Drosophila melanogaster: one gene and its partner. Changing the gene in region 2 together with the main gene of any one other region gives a genetic interaction. Each region holds a gene or a part of one and is shown on either strand. Other genes may lie near its edges.

Region 1 (6,165 bases), on a different chromosome or scaffold from region 2:
CTGGCAGTTGAATCCCCGTTTTTTCTTTGGGGATCTGGAGTGAATCACATTAAATCCATGCCCGGGCGCAGCTTTATGGCGAACGAGGCGGGATTAAGGCTGCCCTTGCATGTCCTTAATACTCCTCACCTGACAGCCTTGATGAGTGCCCTTCTAGGAGTCCCACCACCGGTCTATAGCCGCGGAATGCTGCCCAAGGGAATGCTCAACGCCAGTTTGCGCTACGAGGCCAACGCCATGCTGATTAATGCCAAGCAGCTCCTGGCACAGGCTCGCCGGCTGAGGGAACTCCATCCCAAAAGGATGCCCGCCTTCTGGCTAAGCTTTCAGATGATGGACAACTTTGTAAAGGAGTCTTTGGCCCTCAAGAAGCAGCGACGTTTCAGGGCTCTCTTGGATTATAGCTGCAATTACATGCCCGTGCTGATCAAGGGAATGGACTATTTTAAGGATTACTATAGACATGTCTCGATTACGGCAGTGAGTTTTGCTGGAATCGCTTGGATATATTGCCTGCGCTGTCATCTAACAGTTGGTAAAAAGTGCAGAAATCTAATAGAAATCCAGGAGGTAATCTCCTCCAAGCGTTTGGTGTATGCCCGAGGATTTCATCGATTGCTGACAGGTGTGCTCGTGATTATTATGATGCTCGAAAGGATTCCTCTGGTGGTACAGGCGATCCTACTCATACCCTCACTGTACTGGAGGACGACGCTTAAAATTTTGGGAGAGAGACCAAAAATGGTATGCCGTAAGAGTTTGATGTCCACCGCCTTACTGGCATTAATCTGTTTCGGTGGCTTCTTCCGACGCTACATCCTGGCAGTGGGCTACTTGGGATTTGCTTCCTATAACAACAGGGAAGCCTTCAAGAGAAGGGGACACCAGTTCTACCTGTGGCTACTACTGCTCCTTGGACTCACCGTTGTGTCGGCTCTTCCGGAATCGCTGGGCTGTTCCCAGCCCGGAGCCCTCATGTTTAGTATCTTTCTTACTGTACTGCGTCCTTTGGCCTGTGGCGTGTACCTTAACCTTCTCACATGGCTGAGTAATATACCGGTTCTCCTTGCTGCCTTGGAGTACATCCTGATCGGCTGGCATCCGTGGATCATGTACTTGGTATCCTGGATCTATTTGGGATTTCTTGTCCTTTGGCAGCGTCGCAATCTGCAGGCCAGCGAGGTGTTCTTCTTCGACCTGAGCACACTATACACCCTCACCTGCACCTCTTATGAATCGGTGGTCATCCAAATGCTGGCCATGGAGTTACAGCTGGCCTTGCGGATGAAACTGAAGAGAAATGAAAGCATTGGTCCAAAGACAGCCGCCCACTACATACTAGTGTACAGCTGGTACTCCCTTTTCATCATTGGCAGCTTCCCGGCCTTCGATGACTTCCTGGATATCTTGCACGAGACATGTTTTGGATACTCACCTCTCACTTACGGCCTGGTTATGGTGCTGAAGCTAATCCTTCCCTGGCTGCTTGTGCTTTGCATCATGGCGGGAAACTACAAGAGTCTGGCCTCATACGAACAGCAAATCTTTGTGAGACTATTGCTTATGAATAGTGCCATGTCGCTGGTGCTTTTGCATGGGATTACAAATGTTGGTCCTTGGCGGGATATCCTCAGCAGATTCGCTGAGTTTGCGGTAGTCCATGTGTTTCCACTTGTCTGGCTGCTACTGTGGCGATTGACACAGCTTAAAGTGGGCTCCAAGTGGATGTCCCAGCTCCCGAATGAATTACTGTAAGGTCACTGAAATTGTTTTAATAAAGCGAAGAAGGCGCCATAAAACTATTTAAAACTCTGGCAGCCTTTACAAAAAAAGCGTAAACTTGAACGTTGCCACCTGGTTTTTGCTCTACAAAGTATCGATAACTTCAGCGACTATCGCACAGTAGTCGCTTCGTTGCCATCGCCAATCTCGCTCTCCCTTATTTTGCATAGAAAATAAACAAAAAGCTCTGCGGAAATAATGTTTTCACCTTAAAATCCAACACATTTGTGCTGGCGCAAGTGTGGGCTGGAAAATCCAAACGACAAATAAACCCAAAATCGCCTTAAACCTTAATATCGCCTATTGCGCATTCCACGGCAGCAACAATACCAGCAGAGCAGCAGCAACAACAACAACGAGAAGAGCATAGCAAAAGGTGAGGCAAAAAGTTTACATGTGAATGTGGGGGCGGGCGGTGTGGCAACGGTTAGCTGTTAATAACAACAATTGCCCCGTATTGTTCACACATACATACGCACCCACACTTAGGCACTGGTTTACTCATTTTGGAGCGCATAGGCAAAATGGCAGCCAAATGTCAGTTAAGTTAAGAAATGAATGGGCCCAAATAGTTGGGTCTCCAACGCGCCAACCGCCCCCTACCCCAAACGCCCGCCCACCCACTGAAGTGACGCGCCGCTGCCGAGATATGTATGCGATCTTGCTTTATATCACCCGCGACTCGATAAGGGTTCTCGTTTAGTTTCGTTCCGTTTCCCCGTTCCGCGATCCGTAGGCCTCCAAGGTCGCATTTTGTCGGCTATCTTGCAGCCTTTGCTAGATTGCATTTGTGTTCGTGTAGTGCGTTTGCATTGAGATTTCCCCCATTCGCTGATTTGCCACCCTTTCTTAGAGAGGGTATGATGTTTCGGAACTCAACACGGGATTGAAATTATAACAGACACTGATCAGTTACTTCGAATGCAAATTCAAACGAGCTAAACTATTCAGTCTTAAAAATGTTTAAAAGGCTTTAATAGTTTGTAAAAGCATATGATCTTCGACAAATTCTGAAAAGTACTGGGTATCAAAAATCTCGTTTCTACAAATTAATAGCCCTTCTTTCTGGCTTCTTTCGTCTGGCGGTTGCAATTATTTAGCCACTTGTTCTGGCGCAGACACAGTTGCCTCAATTAGTTATTGTTTTTGTGGCGGCCGCTGTGTTGAAGTGAGTTGTTCATTAGGCCAAACTCGAGCATCCGGCGCTGCATGGGGAAGTGGAAGTGCCACCGCCGACAGCCCGTGCCCCACTGTCATTAGGCATGGAAGAATCGCGTGAATATAGAAATACTCGTACTTTCACTGTCCCATTCCGTTTGGAGGCATCTGCTGTGGATGAGTAATTACCGCCTTCCAGCGGTCCGATTAGGGACCAATCAACAGCTGTTTACGGCGCTCTTGGCTTAAATATTGCAGAGTGAACTATTTAGATTTCCGCTCAGTTGGTGGACAATGCCTTTTCTGTATCTTTCGCCGCTGGGCTGCAGTCTGAGCCGACTGGAACTGCTCCACGAAGATGAGGTGTGACCATGAGCCCATCATATTTCATAATCAATTAATAGTTATCACCTCGAAATAGCCCAAATTTATGTTAACCAACCAAGTACTGATAGCGATAACGGTTGGAGATTGCCGAAAATAATGTGGAGCCAGCATCACAATTACGATTTCCTCCCAGCGCGAAGGAGAGCATTAGTCCGCTTAATTGCGCACTTGTTGTTATTCAAGCACAGAGAGGCTCTCGCCCAGATATTTATATCTACGTAGCTGTATCAGGAAATTTGCATTCACAATTAGTGGTTGCTGTTAGTGGGCGTACATGCCGATCGTGTAACGAAATCTGCTTTCAGTTCAAGGTAGTTGCAGCCGGAAAGCTGGCGTTGGCGATGGCCACGGCACCGCGATCCCTGGATACCATCTCCCTCTGCTCGACCGTTTCCAGCTGCCCGGACCGAAATGGCTTCTATGGCGGTTTCCAGCGCACAGACAAGCCAAAGGAGCCGCTGTCCAAGGCACAGATCATCGCGCGGGAGAAGAAGTGGCTCTACATGATCGACAACTGGTCCATTTACATGTCAAAAAACTACAAAAAGGTAATATTGAATTTAATGATTGTTTAAAGAGTGGTGATCTCACTTTTGTGCGAACAAAATCTAAAAGAAGCTCATAGTATTCCTATTAGTATGAGAATTCGACAACAATCTTTACAAAACCTAATGTTTAGTTCTATCATGCAGATCCGAGATCGCTGTCGCAAGGGCATACCCAAGTCGGTGCGACCCAAGGCCTGGTTCTATTTATCGGGGGCGTATCTGCTAAAGAAGAAGAACCCCAACGTTTACAACGAGCTTCTGGAAAAGCCCGGTAACCCGACGACCATCGAAGAGATCAAGAAGGATAAGCATCGCCAGTTCCCGTTCCATGAAATGTTTCTCGACGAGCAGAAGGTCGGACAAATCGAGCTCTTTAATGTGCTAAAGGCCTACTCGATATACAATCCCAAGGTGGGCTTCTGCCAGGCGCAAGCACCGATAGCAGCGTTCCTATTGATGCACCTGCCCGCGGAGGACGCCTTCTGGGTGTTTGTCAGCGTGTGCGATGTGTAAGTCCACCTAAAAGTCATATTTGCGCACTTCTATTTAACGTGTGTATTTCTATAGATACCTGCAGGACTATTTCATACCCGGTTTGGAGGTGATCCAGAACGATGCTGGCATCCTGGAGGGTCTGCTGAAGAAGACATGCCCGCCCGTGTACCGGCACCTGCAGAAGCACAAAGTGGAGCCGCTGCTCTACATGACCGACTGGTTCCTGTGCGCGATGACGCGGACTCTGCCCTGGGAGACACTGCTGCGAGTATGGGATTGCTTTCTAGCCGAAGGCATCCGCGTGATCTTCAAGGTGGCTCTGGTCATTATTGGGGCTTCACTAAGCCGACACAAGGTGCGAAAGACGTGTACTGGTCTCTGCGAGACGTTGGCAGTGCTGCGTTCACCCGAGGAGCATATCGTGGAGGAGGAGTTCATCATCAACAATATGATGCGACTGAATCTGCGCGTAGAGGACTTCCAGATCGAGCACACACGCCAAAAGGCTCGCCGTGCCAAACAGAAGGCACAGCAGGAGGCGGAGTCCAGCGGTTCCGGCAACGGACATCGGCGCAACATGCCAACGCTGTGAGGAACCGCAACTACTACTACTACTTCAACAAATTGTTACTAAACACACAAACAACACACACCATGCATAGTTGCATAAGATTTGTACGTTTAAAGTCGCATAGGAGGCAGGTCGTGCACAAAGTGGAAGCGAGTTGATGCGAGTGACCCCAAAACTGGTTCAGTCAGTTGGTCAGTCAATTACGGAGACATCATTCCATGCAATCAGTTTGCTAATTTTAAGACCATTCTTTTGTTGAGCCCATTCCGGGCTGGACTTGTATCGGTATTTGTTTTCGTATTATTCATTTAGTGGCAATTATTACGAGTGTGCAATTTGTTTATGCTTTTCAAAAGTATTTATTACATATTTATTATTATCGCGTAACATTTAAAACCGTAGCGTTAGCTTTGAGTTGAGGACCCCGAACATATCGTATGATTATCATGATGATTACCACCCTGAGGCAGCTGACACAAGGACTGGAGGATTATATAGTTTGAAACTTTGACTACTTTATCCGTATTAACTCTGAGACGAGAATGTTGATATTTACCTACGATAATGCGTTACGAACGACTTCTGTTGTGCCCCCGAGCCTGAAAAGTTTGGAGATCAGTTTTGTGACTGGTCTAAGGCAAAAATAATATAAAACTTGAATACTAATAAAACAAAATATACCGAAACATTTGTTTTTTGTTGTTGTATAAGTAAAAGCATTCCAGAGAGTTAATTTAGAATTTTAAATGTTTTATTTATTAACATTAATCAAACAGCGCATAAACGCTCACGTGCATAGACCAACTTTTTCGAGACCAATTTCTTATTAGTCGAAGCAGTGGTGCTGAAAATATAATTATAATTTTGATAATATCAGTTACCGTTCATTGAGATTATATCGAAAATAAATAGCTTGGATTCTTAATACTAGCAATTAAAGAGTAGCCTACAGCTAAAAGTCCGTAATCAGAATTAGGCGGTGTCTATGGGTAAACTATACGAATACTCTAATTAATCTCTTGAATATCTGAATCCGTCTGCCACTGGAAGTACACAGGTGTTGTGGAAGTGGATTAGGTTATTTCGACTTGGGTCATAAAAACGGGCTAGCTTAGTGGCAAAACGTAATCTATGTTCGATTCGCAGAACTATTAAAATAAAAAACGAACACGGAATTTAAAAGTGAAATATACTTTCATGGTTTCAGTAAAAGACACTGCATAA
Region 2 (6,206 bases):
CCCTCTCCGATGATCAACCATCTACTTCTGCGGGGGCACGCGCTTTAGCCGATCGTGGAACTCGCACATTTGAATCACAGGGAACGCAAACAACATTTCTCTCAAGTGTAGTAACCTCGTTTCGCTCTGCTACTGCAACTGCGACATCATCCACATCCACATCCACATCCACATCCGCATCGACACTTGATAACCAAGAAAACACTGAGCCGTCCACATCGAATGGACGTCGTCCCTGGCGCCCTAGATACGTCTCGCCGCCTAGACACGTGTCGGATAGCGATGACGATAGTGATGAATATGATAGTGATGAATATGAGTCGAAGAGGCGCCAACTTACGCCCACTGCCGCTGCGCCGTCGAATGGCAGGCGTCTGTTGGGCTCCATCTCGCCGGAGCCGAGCACTCCTGCTCCACGTGTCTTACGTCGCCGCACTTTGGCCAACAGGCCTTCCTCACTCGCCAACATGGATATATCCTGTGTGGCCAATAGGACCCGCCACCGCTTGTCCAACCACATGGCCAGCCGCAAGGATTAGGAGAACAGATGACATTACAATAGATCACACTCGCACAAATCCATGTACACGGCAAGATCAATATGGATATATCCTGAGTGGGCAGGATACCCGCAGGGACTAGGAGAACAGATGACAACATCACGATACATAACACTTGCACATTCCATTAACCATCACATCGACTAGGTTGTGGACCAAATGCGTGCGTTTGGTTCGCACCCGTTATTCTCTATTTTCCGCCTTTTGTACATATAAAATTCCATTAAAATCCTGTTCTCCTAGCGGTATTCGCTAATAAGATGCATTTACCATTTATTTGCTTTGTTAAGTAAGCTAAGTAAGTGCTCCTTTCCACACGTATAAATAACTTGTATACATATTTACTTTAAGTAGCTGTAGACATTATTTTCCCCATCTGACTTTCTTTTCAGCAGCTCGCAGTGCCTACATTATTTCAATTACTCTAAGCATTACATTTTTTTGACTAGCGATCTAAGAATCCCTGAATCCAGTATCTGTATCAAGAATCCCAGTATCTGAACGCTAAAATGAAATAAATAAAATTAAAATATTTGAAAAATAAGTTAGAATGATTTTATTTGGATGTTGAAAAAACTTCTCAAAAGTTGTAAACTACGAATACTCACTTTCATTAAGAGTATAGCGTTTTGCTTCTAGTTAATACCCGCTACAAATCGGTATGAAAGTATATAATATTTAGTTTTTTTTTTGGTATTAATATAATATGGGCTTTATAAGTGATTATTTGAAGATTTTTTAAAAATCGCGCCATTCATAATAAATAAGTGCTGGATATGGCCAAAAGTTTATGCACAGGTGGCAACGTTAGCAACCCGCTAAACGGCAACACTTGCGATAATGTTCTCTAAATATATCGATACATATTGATATTAAAAAAAATTGCCAGTATTAATTTATTAAACTAATTTAATTTTTTGAGTGGGCACATTGCATATTTAGTTACAGAAAAATTCGACTTTATGCTCCGGCTAAATGAATCGATGTTTGTGGGGTACTATCTATCCTAAACTATCGATAGCATAAACATCGCATTTGGTTCCGTCTCTAGTGTGGGTGCGTTAGCAATAGTTTATCCAGAATATGAATTAACCAGAATTAATCCGCAACGCCGACGCCCACAAATTCCCACAAATCGTCGTCCTTTCAGCGCTGCAAGAGCAACCCGGAAGCTGGAAAGTTCGAGACCGCCGAGAAGCCCAATATAAATTCAACAGTCAGCCAGAGCTTCACTCCTGTGTGTGTGTGCGTGCGTGCGTATGTGTTCGTGTGTTGTGTCTGTGCTACAGTGTTGGAGAGAGCGAGACGCACGATTGCGAGGGAGTCGAGCTTTGCGAAAATTTGCCAGCCTATATTGAAATATTTTCGGCACCAAATCGCCGTCTTATCCGCCAGCAAGCCATTGGATCTGATGGAAATGAGCCTGCCGCTCGATTTCTCTTCGCAAATCCGCTGTTAAAGCAAAAGCAACAATTGTACCAGTGGAGCCAAAAAAAGAGAAACACACCTACCTAATCAAAGGAAATTAAATAACAAGGCGGCGGCAACAACACTTACATAAATTAACTCGCAACGCAACAACACTAATAACTATAGCTTATCACACAGCAACAAAAACATCAGCAACAGCAGCAAAAACAACAACAACAACAGACCAGCAGCCAGAAAGAACAACAGCTTATCTCAGATATTCAGCCGGCTGCACCAGTGCGAGCGAGAGGGTCGTAGCTTGGGGCGAAAGAGAGGGCGCTTCCGAGAGAGTGCGAAAGAGAGAGAGAGAGAGAGTAAGCGCAGGGAGTGTGCTCCTGTGTGTGTGAGTGTGGGAGCAGGCAGCAGAAAAAAAGAAAACAAAAGTATATTTTGCATTGTTCGACGCGCCTAACTGTAAATATAAAAGCACTTGCAAAAACAAGGAAAAACACAGAAAAACAGCGAAAAAACGTCGAAAAATGGCACGCGGCTTCGATCATCTATTCAAGTTGCTAATAATCGGCGATAGCGGTGAGTTTCCCAGGCATTCCCGTTTCCCACAGACCAGGTGCTTAAAAATAGCATCGAGTTGAAAATAGCAGGTGTAAATTGCAATTTGTCCCCGTTTCCTGGCCAAAAACGCAGTTGTCTCCACCTCCCTTTCGCATTACTGCATCTGATTACCATTAATGTATGTTACATTTAAAATGCTAACGCCAACATGGCGTATGAGTAATGTTGTTTTCAGTTTCCATAATACTTTCAACATTCGTCAGCTTCTTGTTTCTATACTCAATGTTTTTGGCATACTCAACATGTGTTAGGTTGTACTAATTTTATATATTTAATCATAAATGCAAAAGCACTTTATATCAGTCCTGTCCTCCTCCTAACGTAGCTATCTACATATTCATTTGGGCGTATTTCGAGAAAGGTGGTCTGGCTCGGGCAAAACCAGGCTCATGACTAATGGTGACGCACTGGCAGGATATACAGCTTGATATGCGAGCAGACCAGCTGCGGCGGTAACCGGAGCAGGAGAACACTCCCCGCTCCACAGCAATGTCATATGCCGAATGGGCTTACTTGTGTGTAGTAACGATATCACATTTTTGTAATACGAATCCCATTCCATCTTTCCATCTGATCCCCTGCAGGCGTGGGCAAGTCGTCGCTGCTCATCCGGTTCTCGGACGACACATTCTCAGGCAGTTACATCACCACCATCGGCGTGGACTTTAAGATCCGCACCGTGGACATCGAGGGCATGCGCGTAAAGCTGCAGATCTGGGACACGGCCGGGCAGGAGCGCTTCCGGACAATCACCAGCACCTACTACCGCGGCACCCACGGCGTCATTGTCGTCTACGACGTCACGAACGGCGAATCCTTTGCGAACGTCCGCCGCTGGCTGGAGGAGATCCAGAATAACTGCGATGTGGTTAAAAAAGTATTAGGTGAGCCTATATCGTATTACGCACAGAATTGGTTGACCCGTACTGAGAAGTAGTTGTTGGCTATGCCAAGCGGAGCTTAATTAGTAGACAACTTACATTATCGATATAGACTCATGTTTCGATTCCTCAACAGTGGGCAACAAGAACGACGATCCGGACAGGAAGGTGGTCATTACCGAAGACGCGCAGCGGTTTGCGAAACAAATGGACATCGAGCTATTCGAGACATCTGCCAAAGACAACATAAACGTGGAGAACATGTTCTTGTCGATTACGCGACAGGTGCTCGATCACAAGCTGCGCACCTCCCCCAACGAGCAGCAGAAGGACACGCTCCATCTGAAGCCCAATCCCAAGGGCAGCAAGGGTGGGAAGTGCTGCAGGTGAAAGCGGCTCCGGCACGGGAGCTGGCATTGCAACTGGACCGACGGCGACGGCGGCGGCGGCGGCGGCGGCGGGACGGGAATTGGAACTGAAATTAGGACCAGGACCTGGATCAACTTCGGGGGCGGACGGAATCGTTGTGGGGGCGCGTAGTTTGTAGGGTTCTTGGCTTACGATTCGACACAGACACTCACTCACATAGACATAGCTAACACCACCAAACAACCAACAACAAGAAACCACACAAAGCAAACAACACGAGACAACTGAACAACACTCACACCCACTAGAGACAACAATTTTTTTTGTTTTGTTTTTTTTTTTCCTCCTCAGTTTTATTCGGAATAATGCCAGATAGCCGTAAATTAAAGTGTAAAAGTGTAAAGCGCAATTAAATGTATTTAGCAATTTATATACATATTAATATATACATACATAAACAAAATTGAAACAAATTGCATATTTATATACAAGAATATATTTATATTTCAAACGGAAAATTGTATTTACAATAACAAGAGCGACCGCAGGAAAAGGCACGAGGACGCAAACGCCTCGCTCGCTAGCTAAGCTACGAAACACATTTATAGAAATATATAAATATATATACATAGATATACATATGTGGGGAGATCAAATTATTGGCTTCCGATCGCGACTCTCCACTTTTAATACTCCCATAGTTTAAAATTTAAAAACGAAAGCTCTGATCTGCCGACTATCAATCGCGAAAGACACGTTTTGAATGAATCTGAAATTTTATTTGCTTGGAGTGATGCTTTTAAACATTTCGTTGCTCTCGGAAACTGCCTTACTTGTTAAGATTTCATTTGATATTATTGCCGCCATTCCGTGATTGATTTAACTGGATAAACTAAAGAACTTCAGGGACTGTTTCCAATTCTTTTGGATGTGCTTGCTTAAAATGAAAAACCTGAAACTGTCAGCCAATATGATTTCCAATGCAAATTTTCTGAAGAGAAATAGTTGTAGGTAATGTTTGTATCTATTCGAAAACCGGGGAACCAATACTCCAATTCTCTGATATTATATACATACATTACATATGTACCCTCAGAAAGAATAAAGATTGATCTTTGGAAAAACACGATTACTTGCGCTCGGACTGTAATTCAAAACCATGTTTTTAATCCATAGCTATGTTGAATATGTCCAAAATGTAGCCACTTTTCATTTAAGTCCTTAGGCATTGCTGATTTAAAATTAAATAAGATATGATTGGCAATCAACATTTTGTGGCATTCTTTTATGCCACAAATGCATTTAATACATCGCTACATTTGTATTGTATCTAAGTTAAAAACGCACCAAATCGCACTGCAAGCACGTTCGTTATTTTTGGTAAACTTTCCCGATTTTACAATTTTTGTTAGCTTCTAAAAGTAGTTGCATACTCTTCGGCGACTCTATGAAACGAGTGAATAACGTAGTAACGAAGCGCACTAGAATTTATATTTATATGTTCACAATGTACATATGGGTTCGCTTTGTGGTAACCATATTTATTCTGCTTAAAAAACCATTCGATTCATAGATTTATTTTAAATACCACAATAATCGATTTCGGTTCCAGTATATATTTATTTATATGTAAACCTTGAGCTATACCCAAAATTCAAAGACTATGTTATTGCGTTTGAATACCAAAATGAATTACCTAGTTGTGGTTTGGGCTGAAAAAAGCTTTCAGAAAGTGAGGCAAACTCATAGTTAAATACTATTCTCGAATATGAAACCTATATTTCATACCAACCAAAAGAAAACTATATATTTATATAAATGTATATATATATCTATATATATAGATGTATATATTTATCGATCAAAATAAAGAAGGCAATTTGATTTTCTAAAATGTTTGGTCTTTTGCATTTAGCCGTTAAGATTTTGGGTTGGATTTCGGTACTAAGACAATCAGTAATATAATCTTTATATCTTTAAAATGGAATTTTTTCCCTTCTGCAGTATTTGAAAACAATTTGTTTAACTTTTTTATGATGTATTCAGTTGTTTGTGACTTTACGGATCCCAGAAAAATAGCACATTGTTTATGATTATTATTTACTTGTATTATTTATTGTTTTTCAACGCATTTTTTATCGCTTCTGTTGGGGAGAGCACGAGGTTAGGGCAACGACTAGTACGGGAAGTGGGCAGATGCGGATTGGTGCGGATTGGGATGGGGATTGGCTGGGCGGATGGTGACTGGTTTGGCAGGCAGTGCGGCTCCGGGACTATACGACTCCCCATCCCGCCTCAGTGGTACTTGGCCACGGGAAAGGTGCGCGTCTGGCGACAGGACACCAGGGCGTCG

What was found. Genes that interact genetically often act in the same process or in processes that back each other up.
Region 1: of Rab35 (region 2) and wkd, changing one suppresses a phenotype caused by changing the other (phenotypic suppression), as found in Drosophila melanogaster (one study listed by BioGRID).

What each region holds. Positions count from the first base shown.
Region 1 is NT_033777.3:11,579,682-11,585,846, forward strand, and holds wkd (whacked), read left to right. Parts: upstream 1-1,894; 5' UTR 1,895-2,158; intron 2,159-3,245; exon of another isoform or gene 3,246-3,303; intron 3,304-3,361; exon of another isoform or gene 3,362-3,632; 5' UTR 3,633-3,668; coding exon 3,669-3,875; intron 3,876-4,019; coding exon 4,020-4,384; intron 4,385-4,442; coding exon 4,443-4,962; 3' UTR 4,963-5,624; downstream 5,625-6,165. Other genes in the region: CG5342 (uncharacterized protein), read left to right, coding at 1-1,755. UniProt on the Drosophila melanogaster protein: Essential for ensuring the polarized growth of tracheal seamless tubes.
Region 2 is NC_004354.4:20,155,251-20,161,456, reverse strand, and holds Rab35 (Rab35), read left to right. Parts: upstream 1-1,584; 5' UTR 1,585-2,509; coding exon 2,510-2,561; intron 2,562-2,928; exon of another isoform or gene 2,929-3,099; coding exon of another isoform or gene 3,100-3,118; intron 3,119-3,187; coding exon 3,188-3,487; intron 3,488-3,620; coding exon 3,621-3,874; 3' UTR 3,875-5,691; downstream 5,692-6,206. Other genes in the region: Phf7 (PHD finger protein 7), read left to right, coding at 1-539; aspr (asperous), read right to left, coding at 6,149-6,206.